Oreochromis niloticus: one gene and its partners. The protein of the gene in region 2 interacts with the protein of the main gene of each other region in a pairwise test. Links are inferred from orthologs where the notes say so. Each region holds a gene or a part of one and is shown on either strand. Other genes may lie near its edges. The genes, in order: calcium-responsive transactivator, fam168a and ubiquitin-conjugating enzyme E2 variant 1.

The links.
Region 1: the proteins of fam168a (region 2) and calcium-responsive transactivator interact in binary tests that used the Homo sapiens proteins (3 or more experiments, as listed by UniProt). The two-hybrid records come from large-scale screens. The link is inferred for Oreochromis niloticus from reciprocal best matches to the Homo sapiens genes FAM168A and SS18L1.
Region 3: the proteins of fam168a (region 2) and ubiquitin-conjugating enzyme E2 variant 1 interact in binary tests that used the Homo sapiens proteins (3 or more experiments, as listed by UniProt). The two-hybrid records come from large-scale screens. The link is inferred for Oreochromis niloticus from reciprocal best matches to the Homo sapiens genes FAM168A and UBE2V1.

The regions. Positions count from the first base shown.
Region 1 is NC_031984.2:13,588,907-13,596,723, forward strand, and holds the start of calcium-responsive transactivator, read left to right. Parts: upstream 1-4,729; 5' UTR 4,730-5,224; coding exon 5,225-5,293; intron 5,294-5,328; exon of another isoform or gene 5,329-5,437; intron 5,438-6,011; coding exon 6,012-6,088; intron 6,089-6,181; coding exon 6,182-6,266; intron 6,267-6,456; coding exon 6,457-6,589; intron 6,590-7,025; coding exon 7,026-7,274; intron 7,275-7,817. Other genes in the region: transcription initiation factor TFIID subunit 4, read right to left, coding at 1-402, 566-833; lsm14b (protein LSM14 homolog B), read left to right, coding at 1,604-1,721, 1,903-2,066, 2,159-2,288, 2,392-2,622, 2,806-2,889, 2,993-3,154, 3,582-3,711, 3,797-3,920. UniProt on the Homo sapiens protein: Transcriptional activator which is required for calcium-dependent dendritic growth and branching in cortical neurons. Recruits CREB-binding protein (CREBBP) to nuclear bodies.
Region 2 is NC_031979.2:18,114,532-18,121,598, forward strand, and holds the start of fam168a (protein FAM168A), read left to right. Parts: upstream 1-4,013; 5' UTR 4,014-4,253; intron 4,254-7,067. Other genes in the region: kbtbd3 (kelch repeat and BTB domain-containing protein 3), read right to left, coding at 1-72, 176-349, 785-967, 1,887-2,052, 2,163-2,443.
Region 3 is NC_031984.2:9,991,347-9,999,066, reverse strand, and holds the start of ubiquitin-conjugating enzyme E2 variant 1, read left to right. Parts: upstream 1-4,708; 5' UTR 4,709-4,815; coding exon 4,816-4,837; intron 4,838-5,828; coding exon 5,829-5,977; intron 5,978-6,929; coding exon 6,930-7,055; intron 7,056-7,720. UniProt on the Homo sapiens protein: Has no ubiquitin ligase activity on its own. The UBE2V1-UBE2N heterodimer catalyzes the synthesis of non-canonical poly-ubiquitin chains that are linked through Lys-63.

The DNA of each region.
Region 1 (7,817 bases), on a different chromosome or scaffold from region 2:
AAGTCACAACATTTTGCGCGTTCAAAGTAGCTCGGATAATAGTACTAGGTGTTCCAGGCAGACCTGCTGCGCTCGGTTTGCTCACAGAAACAGGTCCGTTGTTGAGGAGTGTGACAGCACCGGGCTGCGAGTTGTTGCTGTCAGCGGGTCCGCCTGCGGTTATTTGACAGTTCATCACCACGGCACTTCCATTCAGAGTTTGCGCACCGGTCCCTCCAGGTTTGCCAGCGCCAGCTGTTGCATCTAGTGTAACCGTAACCACTCCGCTGGCTGCGTCCGACTTGGACTGACTCTGAGTGGCTGTCACACTCGGTCCTGCGGTCGATGTGATCCCTGCTGCCCCATCCATGCTTGAACCCAGGGACCCCGTACTGTTACTGACACCTCCTTGCGCTCCTGTCCCTGCAGCAGCGGAAACACATGAAAACAAGGGGAGTGTCGAGCAACTCTCCGATTCGCTTTAGTTTCGGGACACAGACAAGTGAAGCCAAATAAGCTATAACAAGCTGAGTAACGTGACCAAAATTAGCTAACGTTAGCTAACCGGAGTGCGCAGCTATCTTACCTGCCTTAGCAAGCTCTTGTTGTGAAAGTCCCATTTTGCTACCCTGAACATTTAAACTACTACCTACAGCTGAGTTTCCGCCGTGATTTTCTGCAGACGGGGCCCTAGCGGTTGTGTTATCGCACCTTGTTTCTGTTAGTTCAGACTCCAGGGATCCAACTAGGTCACTAACTACTTTTTCGTCCACCTCTGTACTCAAGAAAACATCACCCAGCAAATCGGAGCCCGCCGCCATCTTTTCCCAGCTACGCTCGTTCGTGAGACGCATGCGCCGATTGGATGCATCCTCCGTGACGCGACCTTACCTCGCCTCATGATTGGCTGTTCGACAAAAATAAAGCCTGGAACAAATGGTTGCGAGCTGCAGTGTACAGTGCCACCGCAGTCGGACTATTTCGCTGGAAATAAGCGACACCGCTCACGGAGCTGTGCCTTGTGGAGCATTAGCACACCGGGGAAACTGTCAGATAGTTCTCATGCGCTATCACATGATTTCACAGATGTTTACATTACACTATCATACTTTCTGAACAATCCAAAATGGCTGCGTTGATGCTATTTTTCCAGGACACCCGCAGTAACCGCCTAGTGCTCACAGACAGTAGTGATGTGAAACTACCTGGATAGTAAACTTTTGAGAGTGCAGATCAGCACTTAGGCAGCCAGTTTGCACGGTTGTTTGTGCATCACAGGACTCAGCCTTTTAACGCCATGACTGTGATTTTTGTTGCAACTTATAAAGATTATCTAAAAATGTTTTTATGAAAAAAATATGTACCATAAGCACAATCATAATTATTGATCGAATTCATAACAAATCAAAGATTACGCAAAATATCAAAAGAATGGGTCTCAAGTGAGTTAAATCAAGCCGTGGTGATTGGCATTCATCTTATTGCCATCAATGATTGCCAGGTGCTTCAATCAAGTCAGCTGTATACGCCTATAAATTGTTTCCGGTTTCTCTAGGACTCGAAATGTGCCGTGTGATGAGTCTGTATAGAAGTTTATAGCAACGGCCCCGGATATTCTCGAGCCATGGCTTCGAAGCCATACATTGGCTGTAAAGTATCACTCCTCTCAAAAGCCCAAAATCGTTATGAAGGGATTTTGTATACAATTGATGCAGCGAACAGCACAGTAGTTTTGGCAGAAGGTGAGTTATTTAGCGCTCAGTGTTCTTGAAAATCTGTCAGCATTTCAAAAACGAACAAAAACTTGCTTTTTAAATTTCTTCTCCTTTTCTAGTTATTGTCATTTAATCTTAGAAAGAAACTGGACAAGTGAAATATGGGTGGAACTTTCCTGACTTTATCCAACGTTTTTCTTTTCACAAGTCAAGTGTTTTGGAACTGAGGGAAGGCCAACAGATAGGCCAACGTCACCCAAAGATGATGTCTATGAGTACATTACTTTCCGGGGAAGTGATATTAAGGATATTACACTGGGTGAACCTCCAAGGTATCACCATGGCCTGCCTCAAGATCCTGCGATAATACAGGTGTACAAAAACTGCCTGGTTCCACCCTCCTTCTAAAAACAGACTAAGTATGTATATGTGTGTTTAAACATTAACATCTTTGGTTCATCCAGACCTCCAGTTCAGGCTCTTCAAGCATCCAATCTACTGTTGGATCACTCAGCCCCTTAAGGATGCCTGCCTACAACCAGCTTGCTGCTAGCTCTCTGCTTAATCAGCAGTATGTTGCAGCTCTTGGCCTTGGTAAATCAATGACAACAAGTTTCTAACAAGTCAACTGACTAAAAAAAACCCCAAATTTTAATTGGGTTCTTTCTATACTACACACTTTGTATCCTTCACCCAGGGCCTTTACTTCAAGGCTTACATGCTCAAAGAGGTCCCATGGTGGAAAAGGCTGTTCAAACCGTCAGTGTAAGGACATTTAGGCAGAGGAGAGGTGCAAGTGCATCCCAGCAGCAGGAGCAGCAACAAGAAGAACAAGGGCAGCAGCAGCAACAGCAGCAGAGGAATAGGAGGCAGCCTAAGTGGACGAGAGGAACAAATATTCAAACCACAAGGGTCACTGGAGCCACCAGTAAGTACACAATGCTGCAGTGATGAGAAGGAAATGCTGTTAAACTATTGTGATGTTTCCCTAAGTGAAACAGGTTGATTAACTGTGGAGGAGTATGTATGTTTTGGGGGAAATAATGAGGTATTTGTCTGGGCATCTACATACACTTAAAACTAAGTGTAGCTGTTGTGGGTGTCTTTGCAGTGCAATCAGACCCAAGTGGATCCACTTCTCAGGACAGTCAGCAGCAAAATGCTGAAACCAGGCCACCTGCTAGAAAAAGACAAGGTATTAAACACAAGTTTCCAGTAGACTTGAAAATCAGAAAGGACATCCTTGTATACAAAACAAACTTGAGGTGCACTTAATAAAAAATAAATAATAATCTTAGGGCCTCGACGGCGCAGGAACCGCAGAAGAGGCCAGCTGATGGTGGCTAATGCTCCATCTCCCACCCTTAAATTTGACACAGACTTTGATTTTGATTCCTCAAACGCACAATTCATTAAGGAGGAGCTTGAGGAGAAGGTCCAGGAGAGGCTGACTCTAAGAGGTTGGTTATCAGCTGAAGTTGCCACTAATGCACTTTTTTTTTTGAAATCACCCGCTTTGTCAGTTAATTCTCTTTGAAGGAATGCTGTCACTTTAAAGGTATGCATTATTAATGTTGTTGGTAGAAAAACTTGAGTCCCTATGGATTTCATGTAGTAGATTATGTGAGAGACAGAGCAGTTATGATGGCATTTTCATGGAAGTTGCGCTCTCATGTAACCCTGTTTGAATTACTTTAATTTTTGTCACCACAGCTTTAAGTTTGAATAGAAGTAAATTTGCATTCAGGTAAAATAAGGCTTCTAACGTCATGTTTCTCTCTGGCATATAAATAAATAAATAAATAAATATTTTCAATCTCTGGGAATTGGCTTCTTAAGATGGACTGAGTCTGTCCTTCCACTGTCAGTACTTTTTTCTGTTTTCAGATGGGAATTCTGAAGGAACGGAAACAGAAGGGTTGCAGCTGACTTCAGGGGAGGATTGTTTAGCACCAAAGTGCTACTATGACAAAGCAAAGTCTTTCTTTGACAACATCTCATCTGATAATGGGCTCAGGTAATCAGCTGACTCCATCTTATATAAAAGATGGTCTTTGTGCAGATATGTGCTCATGGCTATTTATTTACATCAATGGTTTCAGACTGACATGGGCAGAGGAGCGAAAGCGCAATCTGGAGACTTTTGGTGTCCCTGGGCGTTTCCTGAGGGGCCAAGGATTCAGAGGTGGATATGCCAGAAGAGGACGAGGTGCTGCCAGAGTCTAACTCAAAGAAACACAACTGGGCGGCTGTACAGATCAGTTTCATACAAAGGCAGAGTAAAGCCACCTTGAATGATTTAGTACCCTGTTTCTTACAGTGAGTGGAAAGTACTGGATCCCCTGTAAGAATCTTGCCCCCTTTTTTCTTGACAGACCTTTTGAGTTTTAGCACAGTGAAGAAATCACAAGGGCAATAATGAAGGCTGTATTGCATTTGGAAGAGGCGCTATGCTGTGCATGTTGGTTTGCAGTCTGTTTACTGGTATACGTGATGGAACTAAACCATCATTATTACAGCTGTGCTGTAACCAGCCAAAATGTCTGTCATTAAAAAGTTTAACATTATTTCTTTGACATTTGACCTTGTTTTTAATGTGGGTAAAAGTTACTACAAGAGGCTTTTTTTGTTTAAAAGGGGGGAAAAACATGAATGCTTCAGTTTCTACTTTGGTTTGCTACTTGCAGATTTGTAAATTCTTGCATTTGCCTTTTTGGAGTATTAATCAGATTTGTCCATTCAATGTTGCATAGTATTAATATAATGAACTAAACAAGGTTTCAGACTTAAGACTTAATTTGGTATATTCAAGGGAATGAGTTGAATGTAAATAAAATGGATGTGCTGATACACCTGTTATGAGACTAAAAGACATTTTGTTGCACAAGTAAGCATTTAAAAAATTCTTCCGAATTATAAATAATCTGGGATAGTATCTGTGTTCTATGGCTGTTTCTTTGTCCTTTTAAGGAGCACTCCTTTAAACAACGTTAGCAATATATTCAAGATTAGATTATATAAACTGGCAAAAAAAAAAAAAAATTAGTAAATGTCTCACTGAATTACAAGATTACACATTCCCTGATTCAGTGCTGTTGTAAAAATGTGAATGGTGGGATTTCCACATTTCCTGAAATGCTAAAAGCAACTTTGGCTACAGCTGATCCAAGCAGACTGCTTTCTTGAATCAAACGATACCCCGTCTACAGTGAGGGAAAGTGGTAGGCTACTCACTGCCTGGACTATACCAAAATCTGAGGGAGAGGGATTTTTCCCTTACCATCGTATCCTTTTATATGCATGTAATTATTTGCACGCAGATCATAAATATTCGCTTAAGGGAAATCCTCTGTTTAATGCCATCCAGATAAGTCAAGTGTTTTCTAATTTTGCATCTTTCACGACATGGCTCTGGTTTGGTCAGTACCCCTATTCCTGGTAATGGAGAAACTATGTAACCAAATAGAAGGCTGCGCTCGAGATAATAAATATTAGAATAAAAGCGGCTCTTTTATTTCCCATATGACAAAATGTCGGTGGCGTTTTCATCGGCGCGCCCCAGAAGTAAAGGGGAGGTGACACAGCAAACCATTCAAAAGGTAAAAAATCCTAAAACGTCGCGACATTTCTATTTAGATCTTCTAGCATGGGAGTATGTGATCCCCCTCCAGTGCAGAGAAAGTAGCCAGTGGTGAATATCAAAGAAATGGCAACTGGTATTGCAACGTTACAGTCAATTGAAGGTGCGAACCAAACAAAGCCATCGCGGTGATGTAGACGAGCGCTCGGCTTAACGCCGGCTGGATCTCTGCTTTCTTGGTGATGCTGTCTGTCATCCTCGCAGATATTATGAGACGAATGGGAATATTTTAGTGTGAGAAATTGGAAATCCGCTTTATATTTCGTCGCAAGATGGTTAACAAGAATTCTCAAAGCAACAGCTCTGCCCTGGTGTTTAATTAATTAGGCTATAGGTTAAAAGTGAAGGCAGGTGTTACAGTATATGTCCTAGGGCACCGCTTTTATCCTTGATTGAACCGTTTAGCGCGAAAGTAAAACGTAAACCCTATCCTTGAAAGCCAGACTTTCAAACGGCGTCCTAAATAAAGACAGTGAAAAATGAGTTCTTCTTTTGGCTCTGTTATATAAAAAGAAGATGAGAAAGGTGACCCAGAAAAAAAACATTCAAGGGCTGGATAAAGTTCTGAGAATCAAGCACATCACTGTTTTAATAAAGTATTTGTTAGTTAATAATTTACTATACACTTATAGGACTTCAGATACAGTGGAATGAAGTTGTTTTATTATTTTCCAAAGATGCTGGATGAAAATCATCATTTAATACAATGCATAATGGATTACCAAAGCAAAGGCAAGACAGCTGAATGCACACAGTAAGTGTTTTTTTCTTTCCTCCCTGACCGGTACCTGCTAAATATCAAAGTATAGCACAATTAAGACTGGTTTTCTTCTTCTTCTTCCTCCAGGTATCAGCAGATCCTGCACAGAAATCTTGTTTACTTGGCCACAATAGCTGATTCAAATCAGAACATGCAGTCATTACTACCTGCGGTAAGTCTGATTTGTGACTTCAGTAATAGCAACTATCAAATATAAGTATACACTGTGTCCACTGGGAAAATAGAACATTAAAGGAAAACAGAAAATAGATGCATATAAATACAGTGTGAAAAAAATGAACTGCATATCAGTATTTATTTATGACTGCCACTACTTAAATATTACGTCTGTACACCTTTAGCCTCCCACTTCCAGTATGTCTTTGGGTCCTGGAGGGATGGGCCAGAGTGGGGGACATGCTCAAAGCAACCTCAATGACAACATGGGACCAGCACTGCCCGCGACATCAATGATGCAGAGCCAAATGAGTAATGGTGAGAGTTAATTGCATACCTGTGTTTTACAGATAAGCCCTGAATCACTTATTTCAGCCCAAAGATGCCTCCCGATTTTGTTGTCTGTCCAGTGTCTTGCTTGCTCGTCTCATTCTGACTTAGCTGCATGTTTGTCTGCAGACACAGTACCATGTCTTGTCTGCCACAGTGCCCGCACTTCTTTATTGCTTCATTGCCTTCATGTATCTGTGGTTTTAAGTTCAGCCAATGAGTCAGATTGTTTCACAGTTATGTTACTATATTCCCTCTTTTTGTGAAAAAACTATACACACATCCTTAACATGCGTTACTCTAGCTTTGTTCAACCATGCACGTCTCCTGTGAAGATGAACTGAATGTGGGGCCGTGGTTAACATGATATGGCACCACAGGGGAATGTGTGGTGGCTGCTCTGACTGTGCGTGTGTGTTGTCAGGCCCCAGCCATGCCCCCATGCAGCAGCAGTCTGGTCAGGTGCAGTCGGCTATTCCCTCCACCTCCCTCAGCCTGCCAGCAAGCAGCTATGGCAGCTCGGTCCCTGGGTACAGCCACGCTGCACCCTCCTCCCAGGGCAGTATGATCCAGGGCCCTGGGCCTGGTTATGGCTCTTCCTCCTCTTCTTCCTCCACATCCTCATCCTCTTCTTCCTCCTCCCGCAGCAACCTCAACATGCATTCCAACCAAGGTGAGCCAGGTATCGTAAAACCCAGTCATCAAGAATTGGTCTCTAAACCATCATGATCTGATAGTCAGGAGTTACCACCTCTCGAGATGCAAGATGGCATACTTGTTTTTTACTTGTTTATGTGTATTATGCAAGATTTGGCATTTAGAGGATTGGAATGATGATAATAATCTTTTCAAGTTTTCAGGGTGAAATACTGTACATGGTACATCAGTAAAACAGTTGGATGATGACCTCTGAAGCTGTGCCCCTTTCGAGCTTGCATAAAAAATATGCCTGCATGCATATCTTAAACTTTCCTCCTGTGTAACAGACAAATACGAAACACATTCAGTTCATCACTGAGGTGTCCTGCCTCCTTCCTTCTTCCCTTTGCTTCAGGTTTCTCCTAATTTCTGAGATGCACCCCTACTTTCCTTGGATGTCCATGTGTATTTATCGTACTTCTGTTAATGCGCTGACTTTGCTGGCTTTGTTTACACTTAAAGCAGCATCTTGAAAGCATTTCTTTAAAGATATTTTTTTAAAAGACCCTTGACTGCT
Region 2 (7,067 bases):
GCTCTGGGCTTCTGATGCAAGGGCGAGACAGGACTCATCGTTGCAGAGGAGAGGGTCAGAATCACACAGAGACTAAGAGAGAATGTAAGAGTCAACACAGGAAAGGTGATGCGATCACAAATCTGCAAACTGCATAAAGTCTTTAAACCCCGTGCAGGTAAAGGTTTGGTTGTACCTTTAGTGCAGGTGCAGGAAGATGGTGCAGCCGGGTCAGAGACAACAATCCCGGCAACAGCTTCTGTCTTCCTGGGAGATCATGACGAATCCATCTAAGGAGAGACACCACCACTGCCTCCTCACTGGGCACGTTTAGAGCATCTGACCTGAGGCACAGCTCCAAGACATCAACCTGAAGAGATTTTTTTTAACGTGATGTATTTGTCAGCTTAAAAACATGAAACAAGAAAAATGTTTTGTTACTGATATAAGAGCAGATTTAATGACAATATATTGTGTATAAAATGTTGCAGAGGAACAGTTAGCTTAACTATTGGGCTTGTTAATCAGAATAAACTTGGTTTTCGGATACATCATAAAACAATAAGAGTTTGATATTTTTTTGAGTTTAATGGATTTCAGAGCTGTTATAAAAATGATGAGAAATCCCACCAAATATGCAAAAAATCCAACATCATTGGTGCTTTGAGCCTTAACTTTTTCTTAAGTCAGACATAATAAAGTGTGTAGCAACCGGATATAGAGAATAAATGATAACAGAGACTCTGATCAGCCTCTAGCCTTTCTCTGCATAGACACAATATTTAGGTGCAAGATTGGGTTTCACCTGCATATCCAGGAAGTCCTGCGTTTTGGAGAGTTCAAAGAAGTTCTGGACCACAAACTCGTTGGCACTTTGCAGGAGAGAGGCTGAGCCGTATCCCTCAGCCAGAGACAAGAGAGACAGACAATTATAAAGATCCATGGTTCCTATCAGGAAGTCGCTGCATGCTTTGGACAGGACAGACACCTGAGAGCACAACAGCAAGAGCAGGGAAATTTTCACGTTAAAATGACATTAAAGACCTCAGTGATGGGTCAAGAAACACTTATAAGTGTAGGGTTTCAGAAATTGGCATAAACGCAACAAATGCAACGCTGATCTCTACAGAATCCATAACTGAAATTAACCTGGCAACAAAAAGATAAGTGCGTAACTGATAGACTGTCAAAACTATAGATTTTCATTTTAAGTGTTCGGTCTTTAACTCTATACCCCTAATAGGAGTAAGATTTGAAGCTCTTTACGAACTGAGCAATTTCTGTTACATTTCAGGCGTGCTTAAAGAACAAAATGTTCAAACTATCTTAATCGTCATCAAACCACATCTTTATTGATATATACTGAGGTGTCAAAACTTGTCTTTTAAGGGTACAGGAGAGGTAGTCAAGTGTCATCTTTACGGGGGAAAGAGGTAAAAGGGCATTCTAGACATCCTTCTCCTGATCTTCTCAGTTTTCTCCTGTGGGATCCCAAGGTGCTGCCTAGCCAGGTGACAAATATAATCTCTCCAGCAGGTTCTGGGTCTACCTTGAGGTCTCTTCCCGGTGAGGCGCCTCTAATGCCCGATTAGGAGGCACCCTAACCACATGCTCAAACCATCTCAACTCCTTTTGAAATGCAGGAGCAGTGGCTCCACTCCAGATGTCTGAACTCGTTACCCTATCTGTAATGCTGAGCACAGCCACCGTGCTGAGGAAGCTCATTTTGGCCGCTTGTATTCATGATCGTACTCTTTCAGTAATTACTCAGCTCTCTCTTCACCACGACAGACTGGTACAATAACTTTTAATAATAACATTAATGATTTACTGCAGTATCCCATGAAGCCATGAAAAAATGAACGTGTTTAAGGGTAAATAGGAAGATGAAGCAGGTGCATTTCTACCTGAAGAAAAGAGGCGAGCTGAAACAACATGTCTACGTTGCCCTCAGTGATGAGTACCTCCCCAGAATAGGCAAAGTCCAGGAAAGAAGCCACTACTGCTGGACACTGATTACCCAGTGTTACTGAACCATCATCACGCTCTCGCATATCCACCTCAAACATGGCCCTAAACACAAGAGACATGAGAGAATTCATTAAAGAAAAAGAGATAGATAGATAGATAGATAGATAGATAGATAGATAGATAGATAGATAGATAGATAGATAGATAGATACCTGAAAAAATCACTACATGCTGCAAGAACACAGCGATGACAGGGAAAGCTGCGTTCCTGCACCTTAATAGTGAAATCAAACAGCAAGCCTCTCTCCCGGAGCGATCTGAGCATGCCCAGGAGCTGCAGTCCATGGGACTCAGACACCCGCAGCATTGTCCGACGCTCTGCGACCCCGTTGCATTGTGGAGCACTGCCAGGTCTACTGCTGGGTGGGCTGTTGCTGCTGCAGGGGTTGTGGGTGTTGGTCAAACACAAGGACAAGTCTTGATTTTCATCCATTATGCCAAAATCTGAAAAAAAGAATATAAAAATGATGCAATTTATAGTAATGGAGTGAGTCTCTGAGAGAGACACACACAGAGGGAATAAGAGATACAAGAATGCAACAAACTACTTTACATGAACAGATCTGTAACACACAGTCCAGGCTTCTCTACCATTCAGACATGCAGTAGTATCATTGTGTCTGGCACACTGAGTGTCTGACACGATTACTGCATTCAAGATAAGCACATTAGACACTACCTGAGATGATGTCTAGACGTTAAAAGTCAAAAATATATGAGCATAAAATGCGTGAAATATGCAGCTAGTGAGTCTGAGGCAGGACAAGTAATACTCACGACAGTGTCAGCACCACGGAGAGCTCTCATGCTATTCTAGTTTCCGGAAGCCTGAAATCACGCGAGGTTTCGCTCGACTTTTTGTTTTTCGCGTTTAATTGTCTTCTTTCTGTCATCTTGTTGGCTGAATTCGCGTTTTTTCCTAAGAAGAATAATGCCCGTGTCTCTTTTACATCCCCCTCATTTATTTTCATGTGTACTCTTTCTTTATAGCAGAAGAAGGCGCAATGGCCGCTGGGAACTGTAGTTCTCCTCTATTGGTCGGTTATTTCTGGCGCGTGTTCTCTGGCAAGTTGCAAGTTTAGAACAGTTAAGGTTCAGGAATTATACAGGTTAGCTTGCTTAGTTAACCATGCGTGCTTACTCTGTTGCAAATGAAAATATATCTCAAACATATCAAGTCACAGGGAACACTGGCAGAACTTTACTCCTGTCTGCTTCTCATTGACTCTGTTGATGCAGTAATATTTCTCACCACTGGGTGACACTGCCGTGCTGCAGAGAAATTATTATGGCGACGCATAGGACAACAGCCTTTGAATCTGAACTCGTGAACGTGAACTTAAAGCGGTCTATCCTACCTCACAAACCATCCTACCCGTTGTTTATGAGCATACGCTGCGCATGCGCGTAACACAAACCCCAAATTTACATCGTTTTTTTTAACCCATTGTGAATATTTCTTATGGTTATAGGTAGGGTTATGGTTAGGGATAGGGTTTGTATTAGTCACAAGTCGCCGTCAAATTATAACACGGGTAGGATGATTAGTCAAAGTAGGACGGTTTCTCAGAACAACGTCTCACCACCACAGTGACATAAAAACACACTCTTGAAAACGCCTGAAAAACATGATTACAGTATAAGAGCTTTTGTGGACACAATTAAATTCTTCTTATTCTGAAGATTATTATCATTATTACTATTATCATTATTATTATGCTATTACTACACAAAACCTGGGCTTAATCATGGATAAAATGCAGTCATTATACTCTATATGCTTTATCCTCCTTCATCGTCATGCAACAGACCATCCTATAAAAGTCAGAGACCGTCCCATTGTTGAGAAACTGGAGTAAAATCAGAGTAAACGGGCAGCACATACTAACGCCATTTACTGATTTCAGTTTTTACGAGACTGCTCTAAATCGGTGTACATATTATCGGGCTATTATCAGAGCCTCTCCAGTTTATATTATGGTGGGTCTGGCCCCCTCCTCTCTCTCTTGCATCCCTGCATCCCTCCCTCCCTTCCCTCCCGGCAGTGCATCCCCATCCCCCACACTGTGGCCGTCTCTCCGGGTGAAAGCTGTCTTCCCAGCGCCACTGGCCCGACAAAACGCTGCTGTAGCAGAGCCAGTCCGCACCGACCCGAGGCAGCACACTCACACGGGAGAGAGCACGTACACATTCGGGGAATCTTTCTGTTTTTTTCCCATTCCGTGGTCGACCGAGTAGCTTTGGTAAGTCTTTTATGCTGTTTATCACGAAGAGGAGGAATGTCCATGTGTTTTCTTAATGCTTGTTCGGGTTTTTTTTTCCTGTCTTTTTTTCCCTCCGTATCCCTTTAATTGTCCTCCGTGGTGGCTACGGTGGGGAACTAGCGGGCTAAGCTAAAGCGGCTAGCTTAAACAGCGGAGTTAAAGTGATACTACTTGGAGCATGTGTCAGGGTTTTTTGTTGTTTTGTTTTTTTACTTTATTTGTCGTCCGCCAGGCAGTAAGGTTAGCAGCTGTCCTAGTGTGTTGCGGGTCTGACCTGCTGCGAGTGGTTTTCATTGTCATCTGCTAATTTTGCCCCAGCTAACTTGCTAATTAGCGTTTTTTTAAAGGGGGGCAGCGTGTGCCGAGGGATGCAGGGATGCTACGGCGGGTTAGCGGCTGGCTTTTCAGGCTAGCACACAAGCTAAGCTAACGTTAGTATTATGTGACCCGTGCAGATTCCTGCACGGAGTGTTTCGGAATGGATGGATCGCCATGCTAACGGTGGCTAATCTAGTGATAATTGGCAAGATGGCATCTCGGAGTGGTTATCTAGAAATCGGTGGATTTTCAAAATGGTGTCTTAAGCTTGTTTGAGTGTGACCATTTTTGTCCAACCATCGCTGTTTTGGCTTTGCTTGCTATCTCTGGTATGCAGTGCACTGCCAGTGCATGCCACACTCTGACTGATATAACTACATATTAACCACTGAAGTGAGGGGTAAATACAAACGCCTCCAGGCTGCAGTCGCCACCGTGGAGAAAATGACTGTTTCTGGAGTTAAATTTGTCAAGAGTTTGGAGCTAAATCTAGGGGAAGGAGACGAATGAGAGAAGTAGGAAAGGTCAAAATGGGTAGAAAAGGTTTACTCCGCATATGCAAATATTTGCACACTGGATTAAAGTGGCTAACTATGTCAGTGCCCATCAACTCCTGCCTGGGCTCATAACAAAGGTGTACTTTATCTGAATGTCACTTACACTAGGCCTTAGCTGCTGTGCAGAGATATCCACTGCAACTTATGCACGTTGTCATTACTTATTCATCTCCATTTTATTTAAATCTAATTGCTTTTTGTTGTATACAGTATAGGAAACCAGTGAACATGCCAGTTCCAAGTGCACTACTCAGGGTAACATATGCAAGCTGGATTATTTATTCATGCCTAATGCAAAGAGCAGTGGCAGAAGTTAAAAAAAGGCCCTTTTTTAAAAACCTGATAAAACCTCCTTTGTTTGTAATGCATATACTACAAGATTTGTGCTTAAATAGTGCCAATCAGATAGAATTATTCCAAATGTTAGAGGTGATTATTTATTTATTTATTTATTTATTTATTTATTTATTCTCCTCCTTTTTGACTAGTCTTATCAGTGAAGTGAATCCTCTTTGCCATCATCTCTTTTTCCCTTTTTTGTAGGTGGGGGGGGGATTACTTGCTTTAGTCACTGACTACTAATCCCATTTAATTCAAGAAGCCTTATCTGTCTAAAGGGATTTGTGAGATGCTACTGTTGTTGGCTTCACCAGAGCATTACTGTGTAAGCAAACTATGTACATTTAAAATAATAGTCTACGATCGAGACTGGAAGACGCACACTGCTCCGTGGATGATAGACATTCAGTGACTCTAAGTCATTCTAATAGGTGATACTTTCGTCCTGTTTGTAATTATGACATCTAGAAATACTTCCCTTTGTGATAGGGGGGGCAGCATAAATCTTATTAATATACAAACAAGGAAGTCTTTGTTAAAGGCTGACTTTATTTTTGTGACTCTAAATAAATCAACAGGCATCCACTAGAACTGCATCCACCAGATGAAAGTATATTAACTTAAAGGTCAGTGGTTCTCTTTGGGAGCTCTAGTCAGAAAATACTACGTTTGGGTTTTTTTTCCCACAAGATGAGAAGTAGTGTTGTTGCTATATGCTAAAGTTGATTCATCTGTCTACCTCGCTGGAGGAAGACGGTGGATGTCGTGTGGCTTTTGGCATGTGTGGGGCGCAGGCTCATGTATATGAATGGCAGGCTGTACAATGCAGCCATAAAACCGTCAGACTGTTGAAAGCGGGAGTCACTTAATGTTACGACAGACAGCGTTTCTGTAACAGAGCTTTCCAACACTTCATTCCTGTGTGGTTTGAACCACTTAATGATTTGCTCATCACAGATCAGCGAATGAAGCACTGAAAGACGGCAGCTTCCAGAGTCACCTTCATTTCCTGTGCCTCGTCCAGCTCACGGTCCCTCAACTTGACCTCCAGTAATGCTACTGTTCTTTTAGAGGTTAGCAGATGTAAACATTTCAATGGTTGGACAGTCTTAAAAAGATGGTTGCTGTACATGAAGGTTCATTCAACTGCATTTCGGGGACTCTGAATATTTCTGTTGTATAGGAATCAATCAAGTGGGGTTATTTATTTCTTCAGTTGTTCATTTGGATAAAATTTACATTGGAAAATTATAATAAATGTGTCCCAGTGTTTTGCCAAACAGTCTAAAATCAAAAGATGTCTAACTGACAATAATATTAATCAAAGATGGCAACAAAACTGAGAAAAAGGGAGCTTTTGAGCTTTTCCCTGAAAAGTAACATTGGTTATTACAGCATTATCAGACAAATTGGCCACTATTTTATTCCTGATTAACTATCAGTCAAAGCAATTAAGCTGCACTTAAAATAGACTTGCAAACCAGTCGTAGGTCATACCTTCATGAAATCCACATGAAATAGTGATTAAGCATTGAAAATTATTTTTTGTTTTATTAAGTAATGCCTTAACTAGACCACA
Region 3 (7,720 bases), on a different chromosome or scaffold from region 2:
AAAGTCATATACATCGGATTTTTTTTTTTTTTTTTATCCAGAGTAGTCACATTATCGTAGATGCTTTCTGGGATCTATGGTTACCATAAATCAGTACAGTTAACTTGGCCACTTGTTATTGAGGTAGAATTTGTGATCGAGCTGTATTTGGATTTTCCGCTTAGAGACAGTGAACTTTCAGTGGATTTGAACGGTGTTTTGCGACAGTATGTGGTCAATTAAGTATTTTTTTTTCACACCTGAAAAATTTAGTGAGAGCAAATGAAGATGTTAGTAAGTGAGATGGGCAGTTAGAATCTCTCCTCGGACTTTATTGAATCGCCTTATCCTCTTGCCAACAATGTGGGAAAAGAGTTTATTGACTGACTTTAAATTGCTCTTCATTTGACTCTTGCTTCTTCTGAGGTAAGGTCCATGTGGATGTTGTTGTTGTTGTTGGTTATGTACACCGGTGGTGGGGATGGAGTTCTAGATATCAGATTAATGCCTTGATGCCTTTTTGTTGTCTTCCAGTTGGAGGACTTACAGTGTAAATAATATACTGTATTTATAAATAAACTAATAAACATATTTCTGTGTTTCTCTTTCTTTCTGTTATCATCATTATTATTATCATTATTATTATTATTATTATTAAAAAGTGTATAATTTAATCTGTTTTAGGAATTTAGGTGACGATTTCACAGGGTACACAGAACACCACCTTCTCATACATAATTCTATTTTTTTTAACCTTGTGATGAAATTTTAAAAAGCTAATTTGCATATACAAGTTTTAATTTGAATTATATTAGCAAATCTTTTTGCAATTTATTCTTTAAAATGTATAGTGCAATTTATTTAGTTTTTTACATGGGGAAAAAAATCACACCGATGATATAGAAGTCTCTAAAACTCGCAAAAACTCACATATCAAACATGATACACTTTAGCATTAAAGGGTAAAATAACCTGCTTGATTGTGTTTATATTTGCCTAAGTAAAGACTTTTTCACCATAGCTTTTTGCAGAAAAGGTACAGTAATCGCCAGCATCTGATGGTCTTCTGCTGCTACTACAGGTACTTGTGTCAGTGGTTAAAACATCCACTATGAAAAGCGTATTAATAATTAATGACCCTGTCTGTACCCGGAGCCTGGCCCTCGACACATTTACTGCTAATCGATGTGCTTCTCACAGATGCAGCTGTCATGTTACATTCCAGGCTTCTGTTTATTCCAAATAAAACAAACACTTTAAATTTACTTATTCAGTTAATCCTGTTCAAGCAGAACAGACAAATTATTCCGCACTCAGTTCGACTACACCATATTGAGGAGAATCCACAATAACAAAAGCATTCAGCAGTCATTTCATTAGGGACACCTGTTCTGCTGCTTGTTAATGCAAATATTAACCAATCACATGGTACAAAGACAAATCTATTTAAGTGTGTAGACATGTGCTGAAGTTCAAACCAAGCACCAAAATGGAAAAGAAAGGTGATTTAAATGCTGATGCCTGATGGGCTGAGTATTTCAGAAACTGCTGATCTACTGGGATTTTCCTGCACAACCATCTCGAGAGGTCACGGAGAACCATCTGAAAAAGAGAGAATATCTTTGCAGAGCTGCAATTCTCTGTGTGAAAATGCCCTGTTATCTCAGAGGTTAGAGGAGAGTGGCCAGACTGCTTTGAGCTGGTAGGAAACTAAGTCAAACAACCGCTTTATACAACCAACGCACAACACGTCAAACTTTGAAGCAGAAACTACTCCAGGTGCCACTACTGTCAGTTAAGATCAGGAAACTGTGGCTACAGTTCACACAGACTCACCAAAACTGGAAAACAGAAGAATGGAAAAAGAATGTGCCTGATCTAGTGTCTTGATTTCCTGCTGTCACATTCAAATGGCAGGGTCAGAATTTGGTAGAAACAGCTTTCAAGCATGAAAGCATGGATCCATTCTGCCTTGTCTCAACACTTCAGACTTGTGATGTTTATGTAATGGTGTGACGAATATTTTCTTGGTACCCTTTGGACCCTTTAGAGCCAAATTGGCATCTTTAAAATACCACAGTCTGCCTCATTATTGTTGCTAACCATGTCCTTCCCTTCATGACCACATTGTATCCATCATCTCATGTTGGTTTTCCAGCAGTATAAAGCACAAAGCTCACAATATCTCAAACTGGTTTCTAGAAAATGACAATGAGTTCACTGTTCTCAAATGGCTTCCACAGACACCAGATCTCACAGAGAGTACCTTTGGGATGTGGTGGAACATCATGGATATTGTTTGATATCCCAATTCTTTGATCTTTGGGCTGAAGGAAGAACAACACTCGGTGTATAAATGCTCAACCAACAATCTCTCGCACTAAGCATTCACATTCTTTCTCTCTTACAGCGCCTAAGTGACGACCTTGGCTTCCTGTTTTATCTCCTGATGAGATGGGGCAGAAAACCTCTACAATATGTTCTGTTCTCTTTGTAATCAGAAAAGGAAAGCCATGATTCGACACAAACAGCATTTCTTATAACTCAGCAGTATAATGCATCATAAAACAGTGTAATGATTTCACAGTCTTTAATCCAAGGCATAATGTGGCCTATAGCCGTATAATGATTCAACAGTTCTTTGATTAGAAGTGTAAGGTGGCATAAAACAGTATAATAATCTCACAATATGCAGCCAACAAACCTACAGCAACTGTGTGATGCTGTCATGTCAGTTAGGCTGGGTTAATTGATGACAGGGTACACTCTGGACAGGTCGCCAGTGTATCGCAGAGCTAACACAGAGAGACAGACAACCATTCACACTCACACCTATGGACAATTTAGAATCATCAGTTAACCCAGCTGCATTCAGACTCCACACAGACAGGCTGCTGTGGAGTCAAACTCAGGACCTTCTTGCTGTGAGGTAACAGTGCTAACCACTGCGCTGCCCTATGAATACTTGTGATCAATAAATGATCAAAAGGGGGGGATGTGATGACACTGGACAGCTGCTGTACTCTGTACTGTTTTCTGAGAACTTTGCCAAGGCAAATTAAGATCTCACAGAGATAACTTGTTTTATTTCAGATTTTCGTAACAGCTGATACTGACATAACAGCGTCACACAGTTGCTGTAGGTTTGTTGGCTGCATATCCATGATGTTCCACCACATCCCAAAGGTACTCTCTGTGAGATCTGGTGTCTGTTGAAGCCATTTGAGAACAGTGAACTCACTGTCATGTTCAAGAAACCAGTTTGAGATATTGTGAGCTTTGTGCTTTATACTGCTGGAAAACCGACATCAGATGATAGGTACAATGTGGTCAAAAAGGGAAGGACATGGTTAGCAACAATAATGAGGCAGACTGTGGTATTTTAAAGATGCTCATTTGGCTCTAAAGGGTCCAAAGGGTACCAAGAAAATATTCGTCACACCATTACATAAACATCACAAGTCTGAAGTGTTGAGACAAGGCCGAATGGATCCATGCTTTCATGCTTGAAAGCCGTTTCTACCAAATTCTGACCCTGCCATTTGAATGTGACAGCAGGAAATCAAGACACTAGATCAGGCAAATTCTTTTTCCATTCTTCTGTTTTCTAGTTTTGGTGAGCCCGTGTGAATTGTAGCCACAGTTTCCTGTTCTTAGCTGACAGGAGTGGCACCTGGAGTATTTTCTGCTTCAAAGTTTGACGTGTTGTGGGTTGGTTGTATCAAGCGGTTGTTTGACTTAGTTTCCTATCAGCTCAAAGCAACCTGGCCATTCTCCTCTAACCTCTGACATCACAGGGCGTTTTCACACAGAGAAATACTGTTTCTGAGTCAAGAACATCTCTTCCTTTAATTTGCAAGCTTAGGTCAACCTTTTGACACTGGACTCCACAGCTTACTTGCTATGTAATAAGCCTGCAGTCAGTCAGTGAATGACCTAATCAAACTTGGCATGCTTTAATCTATCCTTGCTAATTAAGGGTTTCATTCTTTAATCTCTCACAGCAATCTTTTTCTTCTAATATATTGACGCTCCCCCATCTTTGTTATTTTAATTGTGTTTAATTGTGGCCTTAGCCTTCAGAAATACCTTAATTTTTCATTCCCCATGGAGCTGAGGGTGCTGTAAAATGGTTTCACATCAGTAGATGTAGATGCACATGCATGATACCTATACCTACCCTACCTACCTAAAAGTAGATGCACATGCTGATGAATGACCAGAGGCCCATCCTCCTCCTCAGTCTTGCTGGATTTCCACAATTTCTGCAGAAGCACAAAACTCGGACCTAAATTACATGTATACTGATTTATCATGCAATGTGAATAGAACTAGGAGAGAATTACATGCTACATTTGAAGAAAGATGATTGAAAGATATACCGTAAAGACAAAATTCTGGACAAATACTCGTGCCTTTAGAACTGGCTGATTTAAAAACCCCTGGAGCAAAAGGGCAGTTAATAATATCTCTCTTTAATGAAATGACTATTAAAATAAGCACAACATTTTTTGATGCTCTGACAGAATTAAATCATTTAATATAGTGACCTGCCTTGGAAAGTATGCCAGGTTAGATTATCTGTAAATTAATCTGCTACTCTGACGACAACAACAACAACAACAACAACAATAATAATAACAACAACAACAACAGCAATACTACTACTACTACTACTACTACTAATAATAATAACAGTTCCGTTTTATACAGCCACATAGCTAATCAGTTTGCTTAAAGCAACAAAGGAAGCGCCGTTGCTGTCTTCTTGCTCGCGCACGCACCGCTGGCTACAATGGTAAAAGTGCGTGCTCGCTCCCGCTGTGTAGCGACAAGATGGCGGTCGCCGCCGGATCAGGTAAAACGGTTGAGACGTATTAATCACTGCGAAAAGCTATTTTTGAACAGTGTTGTCAATGAATTTTTACCGCGTGCCTGTTAGGTTTTATGATTAGATTGATTCTGCATTCAGACGCTGTGCTATGTTGTGTTATTACATAGAAGCTAAAACAAAGCTGAGGAGAATGAATAGGAAGCGATGCTAGTAGCTAAGCTATCTTAAGTTAGATAAAAGGACAGCAGGTCTCACTTCAGTGCTGTTTTATGGGCGTGGAGCCGTTACTCGCCAGCCATCAGCAAATATGAGACATTGCAACTTGTTTATGTATTTGTGTATTCATTTATACATTTTAATTTTAATAGTTTAATTTAGGATGCTGCTTAAATTACAGCATCCTGTTGTCAAACCACAGCACCGCCACCCCACCGGATAATGACAGCCTGTTTGCGACATCAGATTATTTACAGGCGCGATGTGTTGCAAACCGGGTGTGTAGCGTTACTTAAATGTCATCAAGAAATGCGGGTGCATCCCGCAGTAAGACGGTCTTCCTGCCCGGCTGTTAAACGTAAACAGTGACTGTACGTTTTCCGAGAGCTCATGAGGGAAACATGACCTGCGCTGAGCTTCACTGAGCTTCTCTGGAGACGCCGGTGAGCTGAGCTGAATTGCTGCAGCAGCTGGCAGTGTGACTGGGTTTGTTTGGATGGCTCTCTTAAGGGTGCAGCCTCGTCGTATCTTACTGCGGAGGCCAAGTGATGCGGCACCGCCGGAGCCAGATGCTCAAGTCTCACAGGACGTGAAAATAACACCTGCTCTTATCAAAAGGCTCACGCAGGCTGCAAAGCTGAGGCGTCCCTTATTTTTTTTCGGTCTTATTGAGTCATAACTTCATAACTGCAAGTCATTTTGTCTGGCACACTGCTGGCAGTTTTATTTAGCTTCATAAATCTACCTGTGGCTCTGGAAGTTTGCATGACTGAATGGCTGTGTGTTTGCCCACAAACAGGCGTTAAAGTTCCTCGCAATTTCCGGCTCCTGGAAGAGCTGGAGGAAGGTCAGAAAGGTGTGGGAGATGGAACGGTGAGCTGGGGCTTGGAGGATGATGAGGACATGACCTTAACACGATGGAGAGGGGTGATCCTTGGCCCCCCAAGGGTTAGTGGTGCCATTTTTAACACCTGGATGAGTACTTTGCAGGAGCAGGGGAGTGTTGACCAAGCCAAAAGATTAACAGTTACTTAAACCAAAGGTGTCAGGTTTGATTTGTGCATCGCATGATGTCGGGGAGCAAGTCAGGTCGTCCACTTGAAGAAGAGGAAAACATCGAGGCACTAACACTACTTTGCAATCCTTCGAATGATTGTTTTTGAATTAAAACAGAATAAATGTGAAGCAGAAGCACAATTAAACTCCTGACTAAAGACCAATTATCGCACAAGTTTGCAGCATAATGTTGTTTTTAATTGTTGACAGATGTCCCAGTATCTTTTTAGTTAGTTTGTAATTATAGGTATTTATAAATACTTTAAAAATTGCTCAGTGCTAAGCTGTAAAGTTGAAATGACCTATATGAGACTGTTATTTAAAAATGTTGTTTTTAAATTAATGACTGCAGTCCTTTGAGGACCTCTTTCACAGGACCATGGACATTACCGTATGTCAGACTGCAGCTGGGTCAGCCAGTTTGTCTTCCTCTACAGTGTATTCATTTACTGTGCGACTGGGTAAAACTGCAGCAGTGCTGTCACAGTTACAGCCTGTATGCAGGGAGCATAAAAAAATTTTGGCATACCACCAAATGTTTTGGCCAGAGCCAAAAATTGTAATAAAATTAGCAGTTATGTTAATTCTAGCAGACATTTTTGTTGATTAGATTAAAGCAAAAGGCACAGATTTGTGTAAAAACAAGGTACCGCAGACTCTTTAAACTCTCCCCAGGGCCTTTGTGAGTCAGGAGAAAAAAACCCTACAAGGGTATTTCCTGCCTTAGTTTTCACATGATGTTGTTGCACATAGTGAACATTGTGTACCAATTTTTTTTTTTTTTTGTTCTTCAAAGTTTGGTGTGCTGTCTTCTCACCTCTCCCTACCTTTCTTTGTTTAACAGACAAGCTATGAAAACAGGATGTACAATCTGAAGGTTGAATGCGGGCCAGGATACCCAGAATCACCACCTTTTGTCAGATTTGTGACAAAGATAAACTTGAATGGCGTGCACACCTCCAACGGTGTGGTATGTGAATTATTTATCATTATTTTTAAAATGATTGGCTCATTTTGGATGCACTCTGTGGAAGGAGCATCATATCTGCTCTGTGGAGTCAGATAAACAACTGATCAACTAGCTTAAACTGGCCTATCACTGATATGTCAGGATATATGATGTTTCTTATCATCTTATTGTTTAATACTCTCACTTACTGTTAGAATATTGGCTGAAATATCAATATAAGATTTTATTTACTCCTTAAAAGTCCCAAATGGTCGAGCTCTGCAGTTCTGTCTGGTTATGAGTTCATATCATCATGTTTAGAAGACGGCCATTGTATCCATGGAACAAGAGAATAATAGATGATTTACATTATGTACATCTAGATCTTTATTCAGATGTTTTAGGTTTTTCCAAGAGTTTTTTTTTTTTTTTTAAGATCTCAAAAAATTGGTAATGTGGGATCTTTCTTCCTAACTTACATGAGCACCATGCAAGTTAGGAAAAAAGATGAGGGCCAGTTCAGCCTTCATTCTTATTTAAAAACCCACTTTAAGACTTTTTTTTTTCACTTTTAATGCTGTATAATCTCCGAAAGAGGTGATTATTGTCTAATATGGTCATCTCAGGCACACTGCTCTACCTGTAAACACCCACTTGCTACTCAAACCTTTTATTTTACGTGGCAA